3 linked regions of the Nothobranchius furzeri genome follow. The protein of the gene in region 3 interacts with the protein of the main gene of each other region in a biochemical or structural test. Links are inferred from orthologs where the notes say so. Each region holds a gene or a part of one and is shown on either strand. Other genes may lie near its edges.

Region 1 (4,238 bases), on a different chromosome or scaffold from region 3:
ATGAGCTGGCGGGTGTTTGAGACTTCAACGTGAACTCAGATTTCTCCTGGAGTTTCAGACAAGGCTCGCTTGAACGCCTGGAAGTCTCCACATACCCACCAGGAACTACTGACACTAAATCAGCATCTTCAAGCTGATCTCCACACACCTGATCATCACGCTCAGACTTTGGACTTTCTTTCTCGACACTATTCTCTGATGCTTTTGCATCCTTGTGACTACATTCAGGACCAATGGTGATATTACACATTACATCTACAAAATCAGGCACATCAGGTTCAGATCCCAGGCACTCTGTGGCATAATGTTTGGTGTTGAGTTGGATAACAGGCACCTCTTTCTTGCACTGAGTAGAAGGCTCAGTTTTATCTGATTCAGCATTCCTCTGACCTCTGTGCTGCTTAAAACTTTGAAAAAGACTCCTCAGACTTTTTCTCTGCCTGCCAAGAGTCAGAGATTTCCGGTCAGTGGTGTGGTGACTGCACTCATGAGGACAGCTGCCGTGGAGCTCTCCAGATGCACCGCTCTGGCTGTGGGAATCAAAACCTCCAGCTGAGACGCAGCCACCACCTCTCTGACAGTGGTCGTGACTGACCTTACTTAGCCCGTCATACGTTCTACTTTTGCAGACTCCCTTCTTGCACTGATTTTTACTCCTCCCCCCAAAAAAACTTGGTAAAATACAAATATTTTTACGAACTCCAAAGAATGTCAAGGCAGTCCTTTTGAATTTCCCGGATTTTTGAGACTTCACAGTAGTGTTCACTGGATCTGACTGAAGCTCTTCCTTGATGCCATCAGAGTCGGATTGCTGGTCGGCCCTTGGGGGGGAAGCCTTAGGGCCACTCGGTAACTCTTCCAGCTCGCGAGAAGCCATGGTGACTACATTCAGGAAGGCGAGTGTCTGAAAGAAGTCATACTATCTGAGCCTGAAGAATCAGCTGACGGTAAGAGTGAAGTTAGATTGTCCTCCATCTTCAGCCCTATAATAAGAAAATCAGAACCAAAATCAGTAAAAATGCAACAGTTTCAATGAGTGAAGTCAAGAATTCTATTATGAAAATGTTTTATTTTCATCTTTGGCATCCTCGAAGTGCACATTTTCCTCAATTGTTCACATCTCCACTTCCTTGCACATTGTGCAAACTGCATTTCTAGAATTTAGATTTCCTCTATTTAAATACCTACTATGAAATGTCCACAGTTTTAGATCTACCAATAGAAACACCATATGTTTGGTTTTGTTGAGAAACAGATCTAAATATTGAGACGTCTTTAAAAACAAATAAAGGGACCCAGGCAGCAATCACATATGTGTAATATTAGCAAAGCGCTAAAGAAAAATAGCTTAATAAAAAAAGGTTAGTTTATAATTACTTTATTAAATGTTCTGTTTCATCTATCTTGATATTTACATCATTATTTTGGTCAGCAGGTCGGGAAAATGGACATAATGGCATTAAAGTGAGAGAGTTTACATACTATAGCATGAGCATAGGACAAAATGCACTGCTACTGACTTAAAAAAAAACAACAATCTCTAAAGTTCACACGGTTCAAGTGAAAATTCTTTAAAAACAACTTTACAATTTTGTCAGTTTTGCATAACAATTAGTTTCATAGAATTTTATGGTAATTTATGCATCTAAATCAATATCTCCAAAAGGGGGCACTCCTGTTTCATATCAGGTCTTAAGATCTTTCTATTTCTATTCTCAGACAACCAAATGTGCATGAACCTCACAAATTCAGGAGGTTTGAGATGTGTTAAGACAATGGCAATCTCCTCCGTTCTTGGATGTGTTTGTACTAGCCCTTAGCTCATCAATCCTCTTCGACACAAACCATTTCTCTAAATAGAGGCCAGATTTACACAGAGACTGGTTAAAATATAATTTTATAAGAGTTCCGATTTAAAAAAAACAGTTGCCATGTAGCAGGATCAATTTAATTTAGATTCCTTTAAAAACCTACAGAGAAAAGAAGCCTTTTTAATGTAATAGCTACAAGTCATGCTTGCAAACAGATTAAACAATGGCTACCTAAGGTTTACATTTATTATAATGTGACATATTGTGCACATTTGGTTTGACTAAACGTTTCGTCTAATTTTAGATTTAACACCTTTAGCCAGCAGGTTAGACTTGTATGTTTTAAAACTTAGCCTTGTGGGATGTTTTAAAGGACAGAGTAGCTCGTGAAGCAACAGGCTAGATGCTATTAGCATAAAAAAGTAAGTAAAAGTCCAAACTTTTCACGAAGAAAACAACGAAACAACCGGCAGCTACATTTATAACGTACATCATTTCACAAACACTACAATTTACGACTGAAAGAAAACTAAATTCACACCACTAAGCTAACAGAGGTGGAATAAAACAACTTAGCAACAACCTGCTAGTGGAGGTGGGACAGCTTGTTTCGTCTCCAAGGGTGATAGGAAGCTAACTTGTAACTTCTGGCTGCAGCTGGCTGCGGGTCGAGCCAGGCCGCGGAGCGGAGCAGCTCCACCGGTTCTGTCGCCTCCAGCTGGCGCTAAGCTAGCCCAGGTGACCGATAACACCAGCGGTAATCACACTCACCAACGGTTCCTCCATAGTAAACAGTCCACAGACAGCGGTCCCCCTCGGATTGTGGCTGTAGCTTTGAGTCTGAACAATGCTCGCCTTAAGCACACCGCAGCAACAGCTGCAGCAAGAGGAACGCGGGGATTAGCCGAACCGTGAGTCCAGCACCGGTGTTCCGGGTCTGGTTCGGGCAGTGCAGCCCGAGTTCTCCTCAGGTGGTCACAACAAAGCAACAGCGTTTAAAACAGGGTGATGACTCCCGATTTGTAGATGACTCCCAAACCTCCATTCCCGGAGACTCTCTCTGCGCATGTCAGTGACGCAACACGTGTGTTACCATGGTACCCACGTTTAACAGATTAATTCAGATTCATGAAAAGACAGTGAAGGACGAAATGTGTTCCTCGAGCCAATCTCAATAAACGACTTAAAGTCAGCTAAAATCATTCAGTAGTGCAGCTGAAAGGTCAAAGGTCATGTTGCTCATGCTTTCAGGTGGCTGGAGCTCCAGCCTGAAGGAAAGCACGTGAGTAATTTGGTATGTTGTTGTTTACTTTAGTTCTGCATCTGCTTGGGTCTGTAACTTATGGCCCTGGAGTCACACGTGGCTCGCCGGACTTTCTTTTCAACGCATCATCGTAACTTTGGCTCAAATCATTTAAAACAGTCCTGCAAAAGTTCTGGCTCTACACCTGTATTTTATGTATTTATTTATTTGTTTTTTTCATCAATTGAGGGGAAAATGGCTCTTTTATTGCAACTGTTACAGACCCTATAGCGCAAGTGTCCTCCAGAGCTGCGATTCCTAAACCTTTTAGCTTTCAACTCATAAAATAAAAGCCACAAACATGCTAAACAATGGTTGGCCATTTAAGAGGGTGGTCAAGTTTCTGAGTACACTTCAGCTTAAATGTACCAATGGCAACTATATTAACATTTATGTTCAAGACCCCCACCTGATGCCCTGTTCCCAACAATGGGAACCAGTACTTAGAGAGAGGCTGCTGTTGGTCTATTTTCAAGCAGATCATAGTCGTCTTCTCATCAGAGCAGTTCCCAGACTGGATGTCAGGATGGTCACCAGTTTAGAGATTGGCCGTTTTCAGCTGCTTTCACCAGATCAACTGCTTCCCCTCCTATGATGAAGGGAGGAGGAGGGCTGTTTGTTCTCTTTCTAATTAGCAGAAAGTTTGTCTTAAAGTTAAGTCCCTGCAGAAAAAAAAACATCTTTGTTTTCAGTCAGCCTTCTGGACATAACCTGAGCCTTATTTACAGAACATGTTCAAATAGGAGGGAGCATGCTTAAACAAGGAAGCAGAAACCGTTTCAGTAAGCTGCATGAGCAGCCGGAACCGTTTCCTGTCTAAAAAGAAACCCAAACACTCAGAATTAGAGTTTTTATATTACATTTCCATACATATACACATTTTGCTTTCTTTTTAAAAACTGATTAGACCTTAGGCTACAGTGAACAGGAAAATCACAGTGATTGTGGCATAATCAGATAATATTTACAACTCAGTTCTGCAGAAGGTTCGTGCAGTTACCAGTGCAACATCTTGTTTTCTCAACCTAAATCAGCGCCCGATTGCTCCGTTGTCCTTTGATTTCAGTGTTTTCTTTCAAAGTGCTCTTTGTGGTTTCTGATCGTCGTGGTGCTTGTGCTCATCA
Region 2 (4,056 bases), on a different chromosome or scaffold from region 3:
TGCTCTTCTCCCAGGCCATCTGGGTCGTCTGTGGCCAGAACATCTACGGTCCCACCCAGAGCCATGGCTGCAGGAAATAAACGGACTCGGTGAGACGCTCCTCACGCTGCAGAACACGATCAAACACGGACGCCACTGTACCTGCTCCCTCCTGCTCACGGGGGTCTCGGTAGCGGTGCATCCTCAGGACATGGTCCGAGATTTCCCGGTCCTGCTCGGGGTCCATCTGATCCAGTACGATGAAGAGGAGGTCGAAGCGGGACAGCAGGGAGTCCTGCAGGCCGATGTTCTCCATGGGGGTTTTATACTGATCATACTGCAGGAACAGAGACCTTCATGAACACACACGTTCCCACCGACACGCCAGTCGAACCGCCCAAGATCAAAGCCGTCCCTGGAGGACGCCTGCAGCGACTTCACCAAGTTAAAAGCATTATTATGCCTCACTCCTGCGCCCACCTCATCACGAGCTGACGACCTCTAACAGCTGAAGGGTTTTGTAAACGTCTGCGCCACGCTCACTCCAACTCACCCTGCCGTAGACCGGGTTGGCAGCAGCCAGAACGGAGCAGCGGGCGTTGAGCCGGGCGTGGATTCCAGCCTTGGCGATGGTGACCCGACCCTGCTCCATCACCTCGTGGATGGCGGTGCGGTCCATGTCGGACATCTTATCGAACTCGTCAATGCACACAACGCCGCGGTCCGCCAGCACCATGGCGCCCGCCTCCAGCCGGCGCTCACCGGTCTCCTGGTCAGTGGTGACTGCAGCAGTGAGACCCACGCCGGAGGAGCCCCGCCCGGTGGTGGGGATGGCTCTGGGCGCGGTCTGAAGAACGTAACGCAGCAGCTGGGATTTCGCCACCGACGGGTCACCTGGAAAACCACACACACCGGATGTGAGACAAAATCCCAGAGTGGACACGAACCGCTCTACAGGTCTCCGTTTACCGATGAGCAGGATGTTGATGTCTCCTCTGATGCGGGTACCATTCTCCAGAACCTTCTCCACCCCGCCCAGCAGCATGCACAGGATGGCCTTCTTGATGTAGTCGTGTCCGTGGATGCTGGGTGCCAGCGAATGGGCCAGCCGGTCAAACACGTTCTACAGAAACAGTCACCATTAAAACACACACACACACTCACACACACACACACACACACTCACACACACTCACACACACACACACACACACACACACACACACACACACACACACTCACACACACTCACAATGGAGCGAGTCCGGCAGAAGTTCCTGATCTTGGCCACGTCGTCGGCAGAGAAGGACGGGGAGACCTCCTTGCTCATTTGTTTGACCTGACAGGCGATCATGATGGTCCTGCAGAAACAGGGGAGTTTGGAGTTTTACCTTTTCTCCTTTAGCTCTGGATCTAAACCACCAACAGATGTCTGAAGGACATCACATCAAACCTGAACGTGCCGGAGGTGAACCCTCCCTTCTTCCCAGGCAGGCAACGGTATGTCCCCACGACCTGGACTCGGTCTCCTGGTTTGACGGAATCCACCAAGTCGTTGTCCAGAACGATGTCCACAGAGCGGGGCAGCTGACCGGCTGGAGCCTTCTCCGGCATCTCCTGCACCGTGATGGTCTGGTGGTCCTTGTAGATGGACAGACCAAACTCCGTCTCCAGGGGGTTGTTCTCCTCATCCTAAAGCAGCGGAACCGATGACGGTTAGCCATCTTCAGTCACACACAACCTTTACCATCTGAGCTAGCAAACACCCACCTTGGTTGGGTAAATGGCACTGGAAGGGAAGGCATCCAGAGAGGTCAGGTCGCTGTACACCCTCTCCATGGTTTTCTTGGTGGCTGGACAGTAGTGGACACTGCGCACCACTTTGGGACGCACAAGAGAACCTACAGGAAAAGACCGGAAGGTTAGATGAAACCCAGAGCCAGCAGGCAGCTACAAATCCTAAACTCACACTTGGTGACGATGCCCTCCACACACACCACGCTGCCCAGCAGTCGCGAGGTCAGCGTCCGGGGGGACACGTGCTTGGTGCCGAAGCTGCCCTCCAGCCCGATAAAGAACTCCTCGTGCTGCTTGGCGTAGGTGGCGTCCACCGTGGCCACCACGTCCTTCAGAGCCCGCTGGAAGGCCAGCAGCTCCTCAAACGCACTGTTCAGCAACCTGGGAGGCAAAAACCAGCTGTGATGGCGGGACACGTGATCTGAGGAACCGCCTCTTATCCACCATTTCTGTTCAGTACTGCCTTTTTGGAGCATTTATCCTCTAAAAGTTAGATCTCGCTAAACAGAAGGAGCAGTTAGCTGTGTCTGCTGGAGACATCTTTACACTCATGGATGATGGAGGGGAACCTCAGGAGCTCCAGACCCAAAGGGGACAGCGAGTGTGACTAACTTTGCGGCCCGGGTCTCGTTGCGCCTCCTCAGGTCGTTGATGTTGACGATGAGCCGGGCTTTGTTGTCTCCGATCATGTCGCGGACTTTGCTCTGGTAGATGCCCTGGTCCTGCTGCAGGTCGGACAACAACACGGAGGCTGTTAAAAACGCATTCCTGACACAAGTCTGACCACGACGGCGGCCTTTGTTGTTCTCTCCTTACAGGAACACATCAAAGGACAAAAGGTGACTTACGTCGTCGTCCAGGAAGTCCACATAGTCCCTCTGCGCCTCCCTCATCTCCCGGTCGTCCACCATGTCGGTCGCCATTATTTCTGATCAACTTTTCTCGGTGATGAAACTGAAAACGGGAAACAAAACGCTGCCGCCACCGTCACACCTCACGACTGAAGACTTTTCGCGCCACTGCGGTCTGCGTCACAGTACAGCGTGCCCTACGATTGGTCAACCCGTCACGTGGTCTTTTGCATACTCGGCGGGTAAACTCACGCAATAATCACGTGACACTTAACCCCCTCCCCCAGCATGCTTTGCGCGCCGGCCGTGGATTTTCAACAGGAAGCGGAAGTGGGGAGAGCTACGAAGTTTTAAACGTGAGTTTGTTAAAAACCAGCCGTAGAAACCTAAAAAACTTAAAGCGGTTCTGTTTATAGACATTTGTCGTTTGTATGTTTGTTCTTTAAATTACATTTTAGGCAGAAATCAGCCAGAACGACTTTGTTTCGCAGGTCCCAGTTATTCCTGTGTGTGTGTGTGTGTGTGTGTGTGTGTGTGTGTGTGTGTGTGTGTGTGTGTGTGTGTGTGTGTGTGTGTGTGTGTGTGTGTGTGTGTGTGTTGAATTGTCATTTGTTTTAAGGACAACGGCGCAAAGAAGCGTTTTTATGAAGCTCAGAGGTGAATAGGAAGCTGTTCACACACACACACACACACACACACACACACACACACACACACACACACACACACACACACACACACACACACACACACACACACACACGTTCTTCTGTGAAAAGTAGTTTTACATTCAGGGATTTACACAGCTGACACGTTTTAATGAAGTAAAAAGTTTGTGTGCAGAATAAAAGTTTTATCTTCTCATGTGGATAAATGTAAAAGTGTGTTTATTGCCTTTTTGTCACCTGTGGTCTGATTTTCTCTGTAGGACTGCAGGTGTCCAGGGTCAGGAGAGGCTTTACCTGGTGCAGCTGCCAGCCTGGCCAGAGGGAGAAAGCAGCCAGGATCACCCAGCTCTGGTGATGGCCGGACACCGCCCCCCCCTCCTCCTCCCTTCCAGGCTGCTGAGGAGCACAGCTGAGCTGAGTCCTCCTGATGAGCCACACCTGGATAAAAGAGCTGTGCCTTCAGAGTCTGGGAGGCAGCAGTGCAGGAGCTCTGCTGTTCTCCATTCGTTCTGTATGAGTTTAACTTTTATAGTTGAAACTCTTGAGTGATCCTGTGGGATCTTGTGTTCGTTGGTTTTTAAGGTTAACTTTGTTTGTTGCAATTTTATTGACATGGTTTTTAAATACCTTTGTTTGGTAAAACTTAAGTTTTAACCAGGTGTTTAAGTCAGTAAATTGTTTTATATCAACTTCGCGGTGCTTTTAGAACACCTTCTTGCGGTGAAGCTTTTAACAAATTTTTAACCAGGTGTTTTTTATAG
Region 3 (3,513 bases):
TGAGCTTTTGTTCATTATTTTTTGTAGCAGCTTGTGAAAAACAAACCTGAAGAAGATGAGATCATGATCTGATCCCTTACCTTACCATTACACGGTGACCTAACCCAGGAAACAGACCAGAACTAAGTCTGTACCGAGGCAAACCACAGAGCCTAATGACAACTAAATCCTAACATCACATCCTACCTGTGGCTCAGGTGTGCCTGCTGTTGGGAACTACAACCAGGTAAGCTGTGGTTTGTGAGGTGTAGCCGTATCGCTCACCTTTCCACACTGTTGTGATGAATGCACCCATGAGAACCACCAACAGCGTAAACCATGCCGTCGATAACGCCGACTCCGATCCGGTTCCTGGGAACGCTCATCGGTGCACACGGACGCCAGCAGTTGTTCATAGGATTGTAGCAGTCCAAAGCACTGGAGTCCATGTTCCCGTCTGGCGCGTTGTTCCTGCCCCCGACAGCATAGAAAAGCCCACTGATCACACAAGCTGCCAGGCCGCTGCGAGGTACCTGCAGGTCTGCCAGCCTCAGCCAGGCTCCAGTACAGGGGTTGTAGGCCTCCAGGTAGCTGAGAGACTGACGAAAGTAACCCCCCGCTGTGTAGATCAGCTGCGGCACCATGGGCGTCCTGCAAGGAATTGCTTTGGTGGGTTTGTGGAGCGTGAGGTCCTGGAAGATTTGGGATAGGTAGTCTTTACACTGAGGGTCCCAGTCCAAGGACTGGAGCTGGGTCTGCAGGAAGTTAGGGGTGAGGGAGTGGCAGCGGACAGCCTGGAGTAAGGCTTGGACATACGGTCTCCGGTTCTCCCGGTCATAGCGCACCCAGGCCACACATGCCTGGAAGACTTCGGACTCACACCGCACATTGAGCTCATCGCGGCTGATGAGGTTGACCAACTGGCAGTGGGACAGGTTGAAGAACTCCTCCTGGGTTGCTACCTGGAAGGAGAGACATGGAGACATTTGTCCCACAACTATAATGACTGTCTGTGGATTTCCTCTAACCGTTTCACCTGAGCTGCTGTAAACGGAGCTGAGAGGTCTCAACCTGAAGTCGACTAAAGTCGCCAATTGCATTTTTTTATTGGGCGAGCGTGGGAATGAGCCTCTGCAACGTGAGAATACACATCCCGTTTCTAAAGCTGATCTTCATCCGTCTATATCACATGTCACATGATCAGGAAACAGAAAATCCGTTAATCAGGAGATCGTTTTGGGCCGCTGGTGTGAAAAAAGCGAGGCGCCAACTGGAAAAGCTTCTGCTGCTCACAATTCAACAACAGATTATGAATGAACGGATAACGCTACAAACACACGGATTCTTCCTGATGTAAGCACTCTTTCTTTAGGAAGTTTTGGTATTTACATGAGCATAGAGCACAATGGTCTGTGACTCTTCAAAAAAAACAGTAAAAACGCTCAAAAACACTGGCAGTCCGGGGCTTTCTGATCAGGAAACGGCTGGCAGTGAATGAGTTAACGTTTACATCATGTACTCATATGTGATTCTGTGGTTATTGACGAGCACGAGTGTCAGCAACAGGAACTTCTGGTGTCACCAGGGGTCAAGCCTGGCAGAAACGTCCTATTTCAGAATAAATAATCGTGAGTTTTGAACGTGATTTAAAAAATTAGGTACAATTTTCACTTAAGTCACCTTAAAGCTAGAAGACTTAAATCTGCTGAGGAGTTGGGTCATCCCAGTGTTCCAGTAGTGGTTATTTAGAACATTAACAAAAAAGCTGTTTCAATGAAAAATACAGTGATCCCTCGCTACTTCGCGGTTCGTTTATCGCGGATTCACGACTTCGCGGATTTTTTCTTTGGAGCCTTATTCAAGGGAAATTCGCCAATTCGCTGTATTTTTCACCGATTTGCGGTATTTTTCTATGCGAAATATCAAGAAATTCCTGGTTTTTTTTTTCATCAATTTCATCATAAAATGCACTTTTTGTAATAAAACTATAAAAAACCAAGTAAAAAAAATTTTTCTTGAGTTTTACCCACAAAAAGAGAATGTGATCATACGATAGATCATTCAATATAGTACTGTACTGTAAATATGGTGTCCCTACTTCGCGGATTTTCAGGTCTGGAACGCATCTACCACGATAAACGAGGTATCACCTGTACTTCTGAGGTGACGAATGGTCACTGAGCCACCTACAATACAGCTGTGGCTCTGCCTCAGGTGGTCCTGCAGCTAGGGCTGCAACTAACGATTATTTTCATAATCGATTAATCTGTCGATTATTTTTTCGATTAATCGATTAATCAGTTTGTTATTGTTTAGCTATTTAACCTATACAAGTGATGAATACATTTCAGTTAAGAAAAAGAAAAACATAAGAGAATTGTGCAGTTGACTGCAATCTATTTTATTGCACATGAACACAGTCAGTGGTGTAAAATGAGCTAAACAGTGCAAAATATCAGTCCAGAATAATTTTTTGGTATCAAAATATAAGAGGTAAATTCCATAAAAAAATAATGTAGAATCTAGAATAGAGTTTGTAAGTGGTATGCATTGCTGGGGTGAGTGTCTTGTTCCCCATGTAGTTGTCCATCGTTGCTTGTTTTTTTCTGCATAAGAAACACAAATAAACTGAATTAAGTACACATATAAAATAAAACAGCACACACACTACAACACTAAATCAATATTACATTATTTGAATTAATTAACAATATACAGTGATAATTTATTTTGACAAAAATGTGTTGTGAGGCGTTTTACAGTGTTAGACGGTAAAACAGCCTTTTAATAGTTAAAAAAAGGACTTTCTGAATTTCTCCTGTATTTAAAAATTGAAAGCGTACAACTATGCCGCGTTATATTCACCTGGACACAGCTCGTCTGTATATTTTTCTCCGCGGAGTTGTCCTTTTTTGAATGAGGAACACAGTTATGGGTTTGTGCCGTTTTTCTCTTAACGAGAACAGTCTTATAAACAGACGTGCTAAATTTGGCAAGCGCATGATTCACAACACAGAGGAGATTCACGATTGAATCTAGTCAATCAGAAGTAGAACACCGTAAACTGACGCGGCAAAAAAAAAAAAAAAACATGTTTAACATCCACTATAACGAACTCAGCTAAATCACTAAGTCTCAAATTTGATCTGCGTTAGCTTGTTTATTTTCTGTGACTTACCGGACATTCCTCTGCTGCATCAGCCCCCACGTTTTCGTCTCAAATGTTCACTTAGGGACGTCGTGCTTCCGTCGTGCCATGGTTTTTGCATATTTTGCAGGTCACCGGTCTTTTCAAGGCATCTAGTGAAGTGCTCCCATTCTCGTGAGGTTTTTGTCCGGGGTTTCTCTTGTTTTGTCGCTTCTATTTTTCTTCCGTATTTCTTGTTGATCCGCCATCTCTCACAGCAAGATGAGCGTCAGTAACGTGATACGTCATGAAAACTGGGGGCACTTATTGGCTCATTTCTTCTTCTACGGCTCCACTGGTAGATCAGTGGCTCATTACTGCCACACACTGGCGGCAAATTTAACAGA

What was found.
Region 1: the proteins of keap1b (region 3) and APC membrane recruitment protein 1 form a complex in vitro, tested with the Homo sapiens proteins (2 studies listed by BioGRID). The link is inferred for Nothobranchius furzeri from reciprocal best matches to the Homo sapiens genes KEAP1 and AMER1.
Region 2: the proteins of keap1b (region 3) and mcm3 form a complex in vitro, tested with the Homo sapiens proteins (2 studies listed by BioGRID, with this or other methods). The link is inferred for Nothobranchius furzeri from reciprocal best matches to the Homo sapiens genes KEAP1 and MCM3.

The regions. Positions count from the first base shown.
Region 1 is NC_091750.1:49,363,987-49,368,224, forward strand, and holds the start of APC membrane recruitment protein 1, read right to left. Parts: upstream 2,806-4,238; 5' UTR 2,583-2,805; intron 2,532-2,582; exon of another isoform or gene 2,395-2,531; intron 984-2,394; 5' UTR 878-983; coding exon 1-877. UniProt on the Homo sapiens protein: Regulator of the canonical Wnt signaling pathway.
Region 2 is NC_091742.1:30,394,132-30,398,187, forward strand, and holds the start of mcm3 (DNA replication licensing factor MCM3), read right to left. Parts: upstream 2,806-4,056; 5' UTR 2,700-2,805; coding exon 2,625-2,699; intron 2,502-2,624; coding exon 2,389-2,501; intron 2,158-2,388; coding exon 1,949-2,157; intron 1,881-1,948; coding exon 1,750-1,880; intron 1,672-1,749; coding exon 1,433-1,671; intron 1,341-1,432; coding exon 1,232-1,340; intron 1,103-1,231; coding exon 949-1,102; intron 874-948; coding exon 533-873; intron 317-532; coding exon 142-316; intron 68-141; coding exon 1-67. UniProt on the Homo sapiens protein: Acts as a component of the MCM2-7 complex (MCM complex) which is the replicative helicase essential for 'once per cell cycle' DNA replication initiation and elongation in eukaryotic cells.
Region 3 is NC_091747.1:74,209,470-74,212,982, reverse strand, and holds part of keap1b (kelch-like ECH-associated protein 1B), read right to left. Parts: intron 942-3,513; coding exon 265-941; intron 1-264. UniProt on the Homo sapiens protein: Substrate-specific adapter of a BCR (BTB-CUL3-RBX1) E3 ubiquitin ligase complex that regulates the response to oxidative stress by targeting NFE2L2/NRF2 for ubiquitination.